3 linked regions of the Caenorhabditis elegans genome follow. The protein of the gene in region 1 interacts with the protein of each later gene in a pairwise test. Each region holds a gene or a part of one and is shown on either strand. Other genes may lie near its edges.

Region 1 (3,755 bases):
TTTTTTAGTTCTTTAGTTTTTTTTTTACTTAACAGTTTTGTCTGAGGAAATATTTTTCTGAGTAGTGTGTGTTAGTCACCCCGATTTTGCATTTATTCCTAACAAATATATAATAGGCTGGGTTTTGAAATTCTATTTAAAAAAAAACTGGTCCTATAAAAACGGACGATGAAATTAATGAATTTTTTTTATTTTTAGCATGTTTTAAAGCTATTTTTCTCCATTGTTTGACCTTTTTTGCCAATTTGCCCATTTGCCGGAAATTTCAATTCCGACAAATTGTCGTTTTTCCGACAAATTTTAAATTCCGGCAATGTGCCGATTTGCCGGGATTTTTCATTTTTGGCAAGTTGCCGATTTTCCTAAAATTTCGGCAAATCGTCAATTCGCCGGTTCCCCGATTTGCCGGATATTTTCAATTTTTCCTTTTTTTTTTCAAAATTTGCAATTTGCCGATTTCCTGATTTGCCGGAAATTTCAATTATGGCAATTAGCCAATTTGACGGATATTTTTAATTCCGGCAATGTGCCGCTTAGCCGAAAATTCAAATACCGGCAATTTGCCGATTTGCCGGAAATTATTAATTCCGACAATTTGCCGATTTTCCTAAAATTTCGGCAAATCGGCAGTTTGCCGGTTCCCCTATTTGCCGGATTTTTTTTTTCAATTCCGGCAATTTCCCGATTTGCCGGAAATTTCAATTCCGACAATTTGCCGATTTTCCTAAAATTTCGGCAAATCGGCAGTTTGCCGGTTCCCCTATTTGCCGGATTTTTTTTTCAATTCCGGCAATTTGCCGATTTGCCGGAAAAATCGTTTGCCGCCCACCCCGGGTTCGGCCATTTCTAGCATATTTTTCTCCGTTGTTTGACCTTACAAATTAACTTTCCCGAATGTCAGAAATTTTATCACTATTTCCTATTTAATCAGTAATGCTTCTCCTATGTCTTCTTCCGTTTAGCTTATCAATTCTTCCTGTTTGTGAGCAACGTTTCTTTTTCACAAGTTTAATGGAAAAACGTTGGTCTTTGCCCCGTTCTTTTATCCTCGCTGTTCCCTTTATTTCTCTGCGGCTCTTGCGGAGTGCGATTTTTTTGACCTTCAATACTGCATGTGTCTGTTTGCTTTGTTTCGAGCGGCTATTCCGTAATTTTCATGAAATTGTAAAAAAAAATCTAGTAAAAAATCGTTTAAGAAATTAGAATCAGTTATTAATTTTTTTTTAATTTGAACTTTTAAAATTTATTCTATTACCCAGACACGAGATTTCGCGATTTTTGAGCCACAAATACCAAACACCGGTCTCAACACGACAAATTCTTGATAGAAAGGAAAAGGCGTTCGCCTTTAAAGCGTACTGTAATTTCAAACTTTTGTTGCTGCAGCGATTTCAAATTTCTATGGATTTTTCATAGTTTTATTTTTATATTTGAGAGTTTTTTTTGCTATATTCATGTTTTCCATAAATTAATACATTTTTTTTATCGAAAATGTGTTTATTAGTTATTGAAAACTAAAATCAATTAAAAAAGAAATTTTGAAACTACAGTACTCTTTAAAGGCGCACACTCCTTCTCAAGTACGCAAACACCACATTTTATGACAATTTCTGCAAAATTTATTTCGCTCCTTTTTTTTGAATTAAATTAAATTGTTTTTTTCCTTTCCTTTTCAATTAAAATGCATAATTTTTTTCTATTTTTTTAAAATAAAATATTAAAAATCAAAAATTCGTTTTTTTTTAAATTTTCAGTGTTCTCTCCACCGATTTTCTTCCGGTTTTTTGAATTTTTTAACGATTTTTTAACGATTTTTGTCTAAGTTCCAGGGTTATCATGCCAGAAACGGAGCTTCACGTGATATTCGACCAGCCTAACGAAGTTTTCTTCCCGGGACAACCGATTTCCGGCCGAGTGGTGCTCTCAACGACGAAGGAAAAATACAAGGCTCGGGCGGTGAATATCAAAATTTTGGGATTGGCTCACACCAGTTGGACGGATTATGAGAGTGTTCGCAGAGTGTAAGAAATTTAAGATTTCTGTAGAAAATTTCATTTTTTTTTTGACGAAAAAGCTATTTTTCAAATTTTTTAAAATGGAAAATTGAATAATCAATAAATATTTCCGAATTTTCGAATAACACTAAAAAATTATAAAATTCGAATTTTCCAGTGACGCCGACGGAAAAGTGAGCCACCACCGGCAATCTGTGCACTACTCTGCGAATGTGAACTACCTGGATTATACATTGCTTCTGTGGGCTTGCAAAGATGGATCGGTAGGGTATTTTGAATCAGGGATAGATAGGCAAACCGGCAAAATCGGCAAACCGGCAAATTGACAATCTGCCGCTTTCCAAATTTCCGGCAAAGATGGCATATTGCCGTTTTTCAAGTTTCCGGCTAATTCGGCATATTGTCGTTTTTTCATATTTACATCAAGTTCGGCAATTGCCGTTTTCCAAATTTTCGGCAAATTGCTGTTTTTTTTTTAAATTTCCGGCAAAGTCGGCAAATTGTCGTTGTTCGAATTTCCGGCAAAGTCAACAAATTGCCGTTTTTTCAAATTTCCGGCATATTCGGCAATTGCCGTTTTCCAAATTTTCTGCAAATTGCTGTTTTTTTTTTAAATTTCCGGCTAAGTCGGCAATATGCCGTTTTTTCAAATTTCCGGCAAAGTCAACAAACCGGCAATTTTCCGATTTGCTGAAATTTTCGGTAGCTCAAAATGAAGAATGGTTGAAAATTACAATTATTAGATATCTGAATATTTGTCAGAACGAGTTAGCAGCTGGAGAATACGCCTGGTCATTTTCTTATAATCTTCCTCTCAACGTTCCGCCAAGCTTTGAGGGAAAATATGGATATTTGAGATACTCGGTGACAGCTGAAGTGGATCGGCCATGGAGATTGGATAAGGCAAAGAAGCGATGCATCACTGGTAAGGGCTACAGTTTTAAGCCTAAGCCTGACAATCTAAGCCTGAACCTAAGCCTGAGCCTACGCAGCTGAAGCCTAAGCCTAAACCTAACAATCTAAACATAAGCCTAAGTCTAAGACTAATCCTAAGCAGGAGTGGCATTTTTCGATTTTTCGATGTTTTTTCAGTGAAAATTGAAAAATCGAAAAGAATGTTAAGAAAATTAACCATAAAATATGATTTTTTTTAAAATCTAATTTTGCTTATATTGATGAGAAAAAAACATCAAAATTAATTCTAAAAATAAGAATAATGGCCAAAATATTGTGCTAATATTTTGGAAAATCTAAAAAATTTTCGCAAAATCAGAAAAACGATAATTTTTTAAACATTTTTCGATTTTCAAAAAAATCGAAAAACGAACACCCTTGATCCTAAGCCTAAGCATAGGCCTAAGCCTAAATCTAGACCACTGTCTAAGCCTAAGCCTAAGCCAAAGCATAAGCCTAGGCCTAAGCCGAAGCTTACGCCTAAGCCTAAGCCTAACGGTCTAAGTCTAAGACTAACATTCTAAGCCTAAGCCTAAGCCAAAAATTCAAACATTTTCAGTTTCCCCACTGATCGACCTCAATGTGATCCCCCATGCACTCACCCAAATCAACGACCAGGCTAGCGAGAACCTTGGCTGTTGCTGCTTCAAAAAAGGATATCTCGAACTTCGTGTAAACATCCCGAAAACTGGATTCGTACCCGGCGAGACTGTTCCCATGAACATCCATATTCTAAATCACTCCTCCGTTCCCGTCACCGAAGTCAAGGCGAAAATTATTCAGCAG
Region 2 (3,755 bases), on another chromosome or scaffold:
TTGAGTTTTCAGGAAGGAAGCGATCCGGGTCGAATACATCAGGATCCTTCCATTGAGCAGGATCACGGTGAACAAGGTACAGGTTGAGAAGAAAAGTGACTCCTTTTGGAATATTAACACCTCCAATGACTTGATCATCACTCAGTTCTCTTGTAATAATTGGAACAGATGGAAAGAGACGCAGAGCTTCTTTTAGTGCACATTCGAGATATTTCATTCTGGAGAGATGTTCAATAGTCACGTCCTCATCGTCGCCCATTACTTCATCCAGTTCCGCTTGAACTTTTCTCTGAACTTCAGGATGATTTCCCAGAAGATGAATTGCCCACATTAATCCTGTAGATGTTGTATCGTGACCCTCAAACATAAATGTGTCAACTTCTGCTTGAACATCTGTTTCGTCCATTTGTCCACTTTTCACCATTTCGAGAAGAAGATCCAAAAATGCGAGACGACCTTCCATCTTATAATCATTCTCCTGTAGAGCTTCCTTTCTCTCGACAATCACTTTCTTTGTGAAATCATGGAGAATACGAAGACATTTTTCATGAGTCCGTCCGTCCTCTGTTCTGAAAATTACAAATTAATTCACCTTATTAATGATAAAACTACCGTACAAATTATAAATAAATGAATTCCACATCAACGGATTATTTGTTCTTTTTGAAATCAGTTTATTGATTGTGTGCACCGCCCATACATACTCGTTATTCTGAAAAAGTATTTAGAAATTTTGAGATTCGAGTTGTTTACCCAACCTCCGCGAGTTGAGCACCAATAGCTTTCCCCATAGAGGTTTCGCAAATGATGTCAAGAGTGCAAAGGGTTATAACGGAGAGAACATCAACTTCTTCACTGAAAAGAAACATTTGAACGAGTTATCAATTAAAATTCTTACTCTGCTCCGAGGCAACACAATTTCTGAACCAAAATCTTTGATTGCTCGTTAAAAATCGGCAAAAAATCCTTGAGAATATCATAATGGAATGTTGGTGTCAATAGTTTTCGTTTTGGACGCCATTGTTCCTTTTGGCTCGTCAAAATACTGATTCCAAGCCATGGCTCGAGCAAAACGTATGCGAACCCTTTGTTCAGATGTTTCGTCGATGAGAAAATTGGTTCAACAAGATCGGCAGAGTAGAGCATCAGACATGGAAATGGGCCAATCCAGAGAAGACACATCCGTGGATCTGGATACAAATATCCCATTCCAATCACTTGGTTCATGAATCCCTCTGGATCGGGCTTGGTGATGAGTCCGTGACCAACGATTGGATATGATCGTGGCTGATTGAGGTGCTGGAAATTTATTTGAGTTATCTTTGAATGCATTTTGCAATCTGACCTTCAAAACTTGACGCATTCTCAAATGTTTGTAGAGAAGCCAAGCGATCACAGTCGCCATAGCGAGAAGTACAGCGGGGATGATGACCCCCATTGCAAAACCTTCTGAAATAATTTATTTGTGCGAAGAAACGAGCAAAACGCGTTTAAAACATGAGAAAAAGCGTTTGTTAAGCTTTGGTTCTAAAAAAAGAAAAAAAACGAACAGTTTTTGAATCAACATTCAAATTTCACGCATGTCGTAGTGAGACCCATCTGAAAATCGCCATGCGCCTTTAAAGAGTACGGTAGGCTCAAAAAAATTCTAAAACTGATTTTTGTTGTTTTCTGATATATCATGATATTTAAATCTTGATTTAATGATTAAAAACTTTCAATCGCGTTAATTTTTCAACAAAAAAAAAAGAAAACAAATCCAAAATTATTTTTCAATAAGTATTGTACTTTTTATGAATGCATCGCCTATTTGACCTATTCGATCTCCCCCGCGAAAAGTCAGCGCAACAATTGTGTTATTTTAGGCCCAACGAAAATTTTTGATTGTGAACATTCTTCTACTTTGCTGATGTTCAGAGAGCCGTAATGAAATTTCATAAATATTGTTTTATCGGTGAAGCATTATTAATCTGTTAATCACTTGAGTACATTGTTTTTTTTAAAGTTTTATCTTTAATTTTTGCTTCGAATTCTTATTTTTCCATTAATTTTTCAAACCAACGTTTTTTAGAATGTCAGCTCCGTCCCGTACCGTTCTTCGCGAATTGACGGCGACCAAATACGTGGCCAACTACACCGATGAATATCAATTGGAAACCGCTCGAGCCGGTTGCTCAGCCCTCCCACCACAACCCAACATCAATCATGATGCAATTATCGAAGGGCATGGAGAAGACGTGGAGCTCGTCGAGGATAAGAACTACCGTTCCCTGCATCGTATCGATGAAACTCCAAAGCTCGTCGACAAGAAGCCGAGCAAGGCAATCATCCGCGATGAAGCTGTCAAAGTGCTAAGAGACATTCAAACAATGCCGATTGAAAATCTCCGTCTCAAGCGCTACGACTTCTTCTCGCAAAGATGGTTCAACACGACCAGAGAATCGGAGAAAGCGCTTGTCGAGCACGTGCTCCTTCATCCGAACCAGCGACCACACTATTTCGCCGCTCAGTGCCGCATGCTTTCGGCCGAAGATATCTCCAGTCTGATTCTAGTTAGTTTCTTGAGTATATTTTTCCCAAAAAAATTTTTTTATTTCAGACTTCCCTCCTGGCCGAGCCGAAAGAGACGGGTCAAAATGTGGTTCGATTTGCGATCCAGGCAAAGACTGCAATGCCGTTCCAGCAATTGTTTGCAATTCTCGAAAAACTGGAGATGGAAATCGAAGGCTTCCAGATGACAGACAGCTTTGTGGTGGCAACATTGATCCGATCACAGAGCAAGAGTGTACGTAAAATAGTTTTCTATTTCACACCGATAACTTTTCATATTTCAGACTACCACTCGTCGCCTGCGAACAACAAACTGCCGGGAATACGGAAATCTCGAGCCAGGACTCGATTCACAAGGCCGACTGATGGCCTCGACTGCATCAATCACGTGTTCGATTCGAGGAAAGCGCCACGTGGAAACGAGGATCGTGTACAATAACAACTCGAGCGCCAGGGATCCTTTCCGGAGATATAGAGTGAGTTGAATAGCAATAATTTATCGGTTTCCAATTTATAACGTTTTCAGTACATCGAATTGGAGCAAACGGTGAAGTGCATGAACCGACGAGTGCAGATTGTCGAAGAGCCAGTCGAATTTCATGAATTCGAGGTCGAAAACGATATGGTCTCGTTGAGAAATGGAATGGTGCTTGTCGACGACCTAATCTCGTTCCTCGAAACATTCGAACTGGATGAAGAGTGAATTCATTTGTCCAATAATTAGTTATAATGTGCATAAGTTTTTGTATATATCTATCTGAATAACTAAGTGGTTCCTGTTAAATATATCAACTAACTTTCCCCTATTTTATTTTCCATTCCTCCAACTCACCATGACCCTCGAATATTTTGTTTATGTTCAACATGTATATTGCTTGAATTAACTTTACCAAATCATGAACTGGTTGATTTAAAAAATCTTTTTAACATGACTCTGAAAAATTTTTCAAATTAAATTCTTCTGATAAGCTGATAATTTTCTGGTTTCAGATATCAAAATTTTTATACAGCCGGGTACAATGATTTACGATATGGAAGATGCCTCCAGCCTAAAAAGATGAATTCGAAATTAGAATTAATGAACGCAAATTTCTGAAAACGCTGGCAATTCCAGCTTGCGACATGCAACTTTTCGATACTTGAGGCTTGATAGGCAATTGGCCACATTACATAGTGATCATAATTCTGCAATTTCTAAATGTCGT
Region 3 (3,755 bases), on another chromosome or scaffold:
AACTTTTAAAGCATTTTTTTTTGAAAACTTAAACGAACCTGCATTCTCTGAGCTTCGATATTTCCATCGAGAAGCTCTACTTGTGCAATATTCTGAGCTTCACGTTGATATTCGTACACTTCTTGGGGCTCGAAGAATGTCTCCATTTCACGCACCTAAATTATTATTTTTTTAAATAGAACAATTAAATTTAGAACTAACCAATCGAAGATCATCTGCATGAAGTGGAACTTCCATTGATTGTTTCCAACAATTCATCGCCGACATTGCATCCATTTTCTTATCAAGTAGCGTACTTCCCAACAGCTTCAACGCATCTCTTTTATGAATTCCAGATGGCATTTGATCAGCAAGAACATTCAGAACATCCAGAAAACCGGAAAGTGCTGCACCCATCAATGGATCAACTCCTTGTATGTCTTTCATGAGGACCGATCCGTGTTTCAGAAGAATTTTCACAACTTCCACATTTCCACTTTCTGCAGCGTCATGAAGAGCCGTATTTCCTCTCTCGGTTTTCTTGTTCACATCGATTCCGGTTTTTAGGAGCTCTTCCACAATTCCAACCTACAAAATTTTAGTTTTTCTCATATTTTGTTAATTAAAAATTTCAAAATCATACTTTATTTCTGTAGGATGCAATCATCAGGCACGTATGACCATGACGATTCGGTATATGTGGATCTGCACCTTTTTCGAGTAAATATTTCACTGAAAATCTTATTTTTAAAAAAGCTTCTTCGACTTCAAGGAATTACCAATATCCAAGTGTCCATCGTAACATGCACCTCTTAATGGAGTACTTCTTGTGTTAGTTGCTTGATTTACATCTGCATTTGCCTTTTCGATCAAGAGCTTTACGATCTGAAATCGAAATAAAACATTATTGCATTAAATAATGAAATATTTTTCACTTCAATGTGTCCAGCAGCGGAGGCAGCCCACAAAGGAGGTGTTCCTTCTGAAAACTATTGTTTTATTTTCTTTTCAGAACAGAAATAAAAACTTACGAATGTTTTCGTTGTCAAATTCCACAACACCACGAACAGATGGATCGGCTCCAATTTCTAGCTGAAAATCTTCTCATTTAATTAATTAATTTTCATTTTTCCCACCAAATATTCGACGACATTTGCGTGTCCATTTCTTGCAGCAATCACAAGTGGATATCGTCCGTCTTGATCAGAATTGAAGCAATCAATTATCCATTGTCGATCGTTTCTTGAATTTATTGTGAAAACCTGGAAATTCATTTATTTTGACAACTTTTCTTTAACTTGAGCTTTTTGCTTACTTTAATTCTCTGCAAATTTCCAACCGCCGCAGCATTATAAATTACTGTTCGAAAATGATGTCCATTTGGTGTCATACCGCCAATTTTTCCAAAAAAAAACTGGCGGAATTTTAATAGAAATTGCAGAAATTCGAGAAGAAAAAGAAAAGAAAATACTCCTCGTGATTTGTCGTCGGATAGGGTGCACGGTCTGCAATCTGACGTGAGGATTATTGCGGAGTGCTCGAAATTTTGAGTTCAGCGCCGCGGCGGAAATATCGGATATCAGAGATTTTCCCGTCGGTTTTGTCAACTTTTGCCTCAATTTTATCAATTTTTCCGTAAAAATCTCAAAGATCGTTACTGTTTGTATCATTGTTTGAAACAAACTACGCAGAATGATGCAAAATTGTATAGGAACTCCCATGGTTGACATTTTCCCAGGGAAAAATGAGTAAGTGGCAGGATCGAAAAGATGATATAAAAGTTGGCGTTCACAGTCAATCGAAGGCCAAGTAGACTATCTGAATTTCTATTTGCGCACATTTTATCACTTGTTATCACTGGTGTGTTCAAATGCATTGTTTTTCACTTTGTGATCACTGGCAGTTGTTCTTTCTCATTTCAAACATCATTTCGCAACTGCCTCGTCATTTTTACTCTTCTCCTCGTAAAACTCTTTATATAAATGATACTCTCATTTCGATTCAAAAATTTTAAATTTTACAGATGGAAAATCTCATTCCTGTCGTCAATAAACTACAGGATGTTTTCGCAACGTTAGGCAGGAAAGAAGATCAAATTCAACTTCCACAGATTGTAGTCGTCGGATCACAGTCGGCCGGAAAGTCTTCAGTGCTCGAAAATCTAGTCGGTCGGGATTTTCTGCCGCGTGGTACTGGAATTGTCACTCGCAGGCCATTGATTCTTCAGTTAAATCACGTTGCTCTCGATGATGAATCCAAAAGAAGACGGTCAAATGGAACACTTCTCACAGATGATTGGGCAATGTTCGAACATACTGGCTCTAAGGTTTTCACAGGTGAGAATTTAGTAATTTGAATATTGCGAGAAATTTAAACAATTTTCCAGACTTCGATGCCGTGCGAAAAGAAATCGAAGATGAAACTGATCGTGTAACTGGAGTGAATAAAGGAATCTCTCTTCTTCCAATCAGTTTGAAAATTTATTCCCACAGAGTTGTCTCCCTCTCCCTGGTCGATCTTCCCGGCATCACAAAGATCCCAGTTGGTGATCAACCAGTCAATATTGAAGAGCAAATCCGTGAAATGATTCTTCTCTACATTTCAAATCCTTCTTCTATCATTCTGGCTGTAACTCCAGCGAACCAGGATTTCGCTACTTCGGAGCCTATCAAGTTAGCTAGAGAAGTGGACGCAGGTGGACAAAGAACTCTCGCAGTTCTCACGAAATTGGATTTGATGGATCAAGGAACTGATGCGATGGACGTATTAATGGGGAAAGTGATTCCAGTAAAGTTGGGAATTATTGGAGTCGTTAATCGATCTCAACAGAATATTCTCGACAACAAACTGATCGTGGATGCAGTGAAAGATGAGCAAAGCTTTATGCAAAAGAAATATCCAACATTAGCTAGCAGAAATGGAACTCCTTATTTGGCAAAGAGATTGAATATGGTAAGAATTTCAATAAATAAAAAATTATTTAGAAATTAATTTCAGCTTCTCATGCACCATATTCGCAACTGTCTTCCTGCACTGAAAGCCCGCGTGTCTATCATGAACGCCCAATGCCAATCGGATCTTGTTGCATTCGGTGAACCAGTTGAAGATAAGAACAGAACACTTCTTCAAATCATAACTCGATTCGCAACTGCTTATACATCAACTATCGAAGGAACTGCCCGCAATATTGAAACAACTGAGCTATGCGGAGGTGCTCGTATATGCTACATTTTCCACGATACCTTCGGAAGATCTTTGGAATCTGTCAATCCATTGGAAAACCTCACACAATTGGATATTTTGACTGCGATTAGAAACGCGACAGGACCAAGGCCAGCTCTTTTCGTACCAGAAGTCTCATTTGAATTGCTTGTCAAGCGACAAATTCAACGATTGGAGGAGCCATCGTTGAGATGCGTTGAGCTGGTACACGAAGAAATGCAACGAATGGTTCAGCATTGCGGATTCACTACTCAACAGGAGATGATTCGTTTCCCAAGATTGTACGATAAAATCAATGAGGTCGTTAGTGGAGTTCTGAAAGAGAGGCTGAAGCCCACCAATGAGCTTGTCGAGAATCTTGTAGCCATTGAACTTGCTTACATTAATACAAAACATCCAGAATTCACAGAAGCCAATTTGGTGACACTTTTGAAAGAGGAGCTTCTTCTCGACGATCGGCATGGTCGCAGTAGAAATCGACATGCATCAACCGGAGAAAGAGCGGTCAGTGCTCATGGAGAACAGGTGGGGGCAGGAACTTCCTGCCAGGAAGT

What was found.
Region 2: the proteins of arrd-13 (region 1) and memi-3 interact in a two-hybrid assay, tested with the Caenorhabditis elegans proteins (one study listed by BioGRID).
Region 3: the proteins of arrd-13 (region 1) and drp-1 interact in a two-hybrid assay, tested with the Caenorhabditis elegans proteins (2 studies listed by BioGRID).

Annotation. Positions count from the first base shown.
Region 1 is NC_003280.10:13,756,585-13,760,339, forward strand, and holds the start of arrd-13 (Arrestin C-terminal-like domain-containing protein), read left to right. Parts: upstream 1-1,823; 5' UTR 1,824-1,836; coding exon 1,837-2,021; intron 2,022-2,172; coding exon 2,173-2,278; intron 2,279-2,777; coding exon 2,778-2,940; intron 2,941-3,528; coding exon 3,529-3,755.
Region 2 is NC_003282.8:11,401,655-11,405,409, reverse strand, and holds memi-3 (MEiosis-to-MItosis transition associated), read left to right. Parts: upstream 1-2,071; 5' UTR 2,072-2,072; coding exon 2,073-2,552; intron 2,553-2,599; coding exon 2,600-2,785; intron 2,786-2,834; coding exon 2,835-3,026; intron 3,027-3,076; coding exon 3,077-3,253; 3' UTR 3,254-3,465; downstream 3,466-3,755. Other genes in the region: cyp-31A2 (CYtochrome P450 family), read right to left, coding at 1-569, 618-712, 759-855, 899-1,299, 1,346-1,438.
Region 3 is NC_003282.8:5,536,488-5,540,242, forward strand, and holds the start of drp-1 (Dynamin-1-like protein drp-1), read left to right. Parts: upstream 1-2,000; 5' UTR 2,001-2,002; coding exon 2,003-2,315; intron 2,316-2,365; coding exon 2,366-2,931; intron 2,932-2,976; coding exon 2,977-3,726; intron 3,727-3,755. Other genes in the region: Sex-determining protein fem-1, read right to left, coding at 39-155, 202-567, 623-711, 759-864, 915-961, 1,011-1,071, 1,116-1,241, 1,295-1,369. UniProt on the Caenorhabditis elegans protein: Functions in mitochondrial division. Functions in peroxisomal division. Mediates membrane fission, perhaps mainly of the mitochondrial outer membrane. Mitochondrial fission may be promoted by recruitment to mitochondrial membranes via the egl-1/ced-9 complex.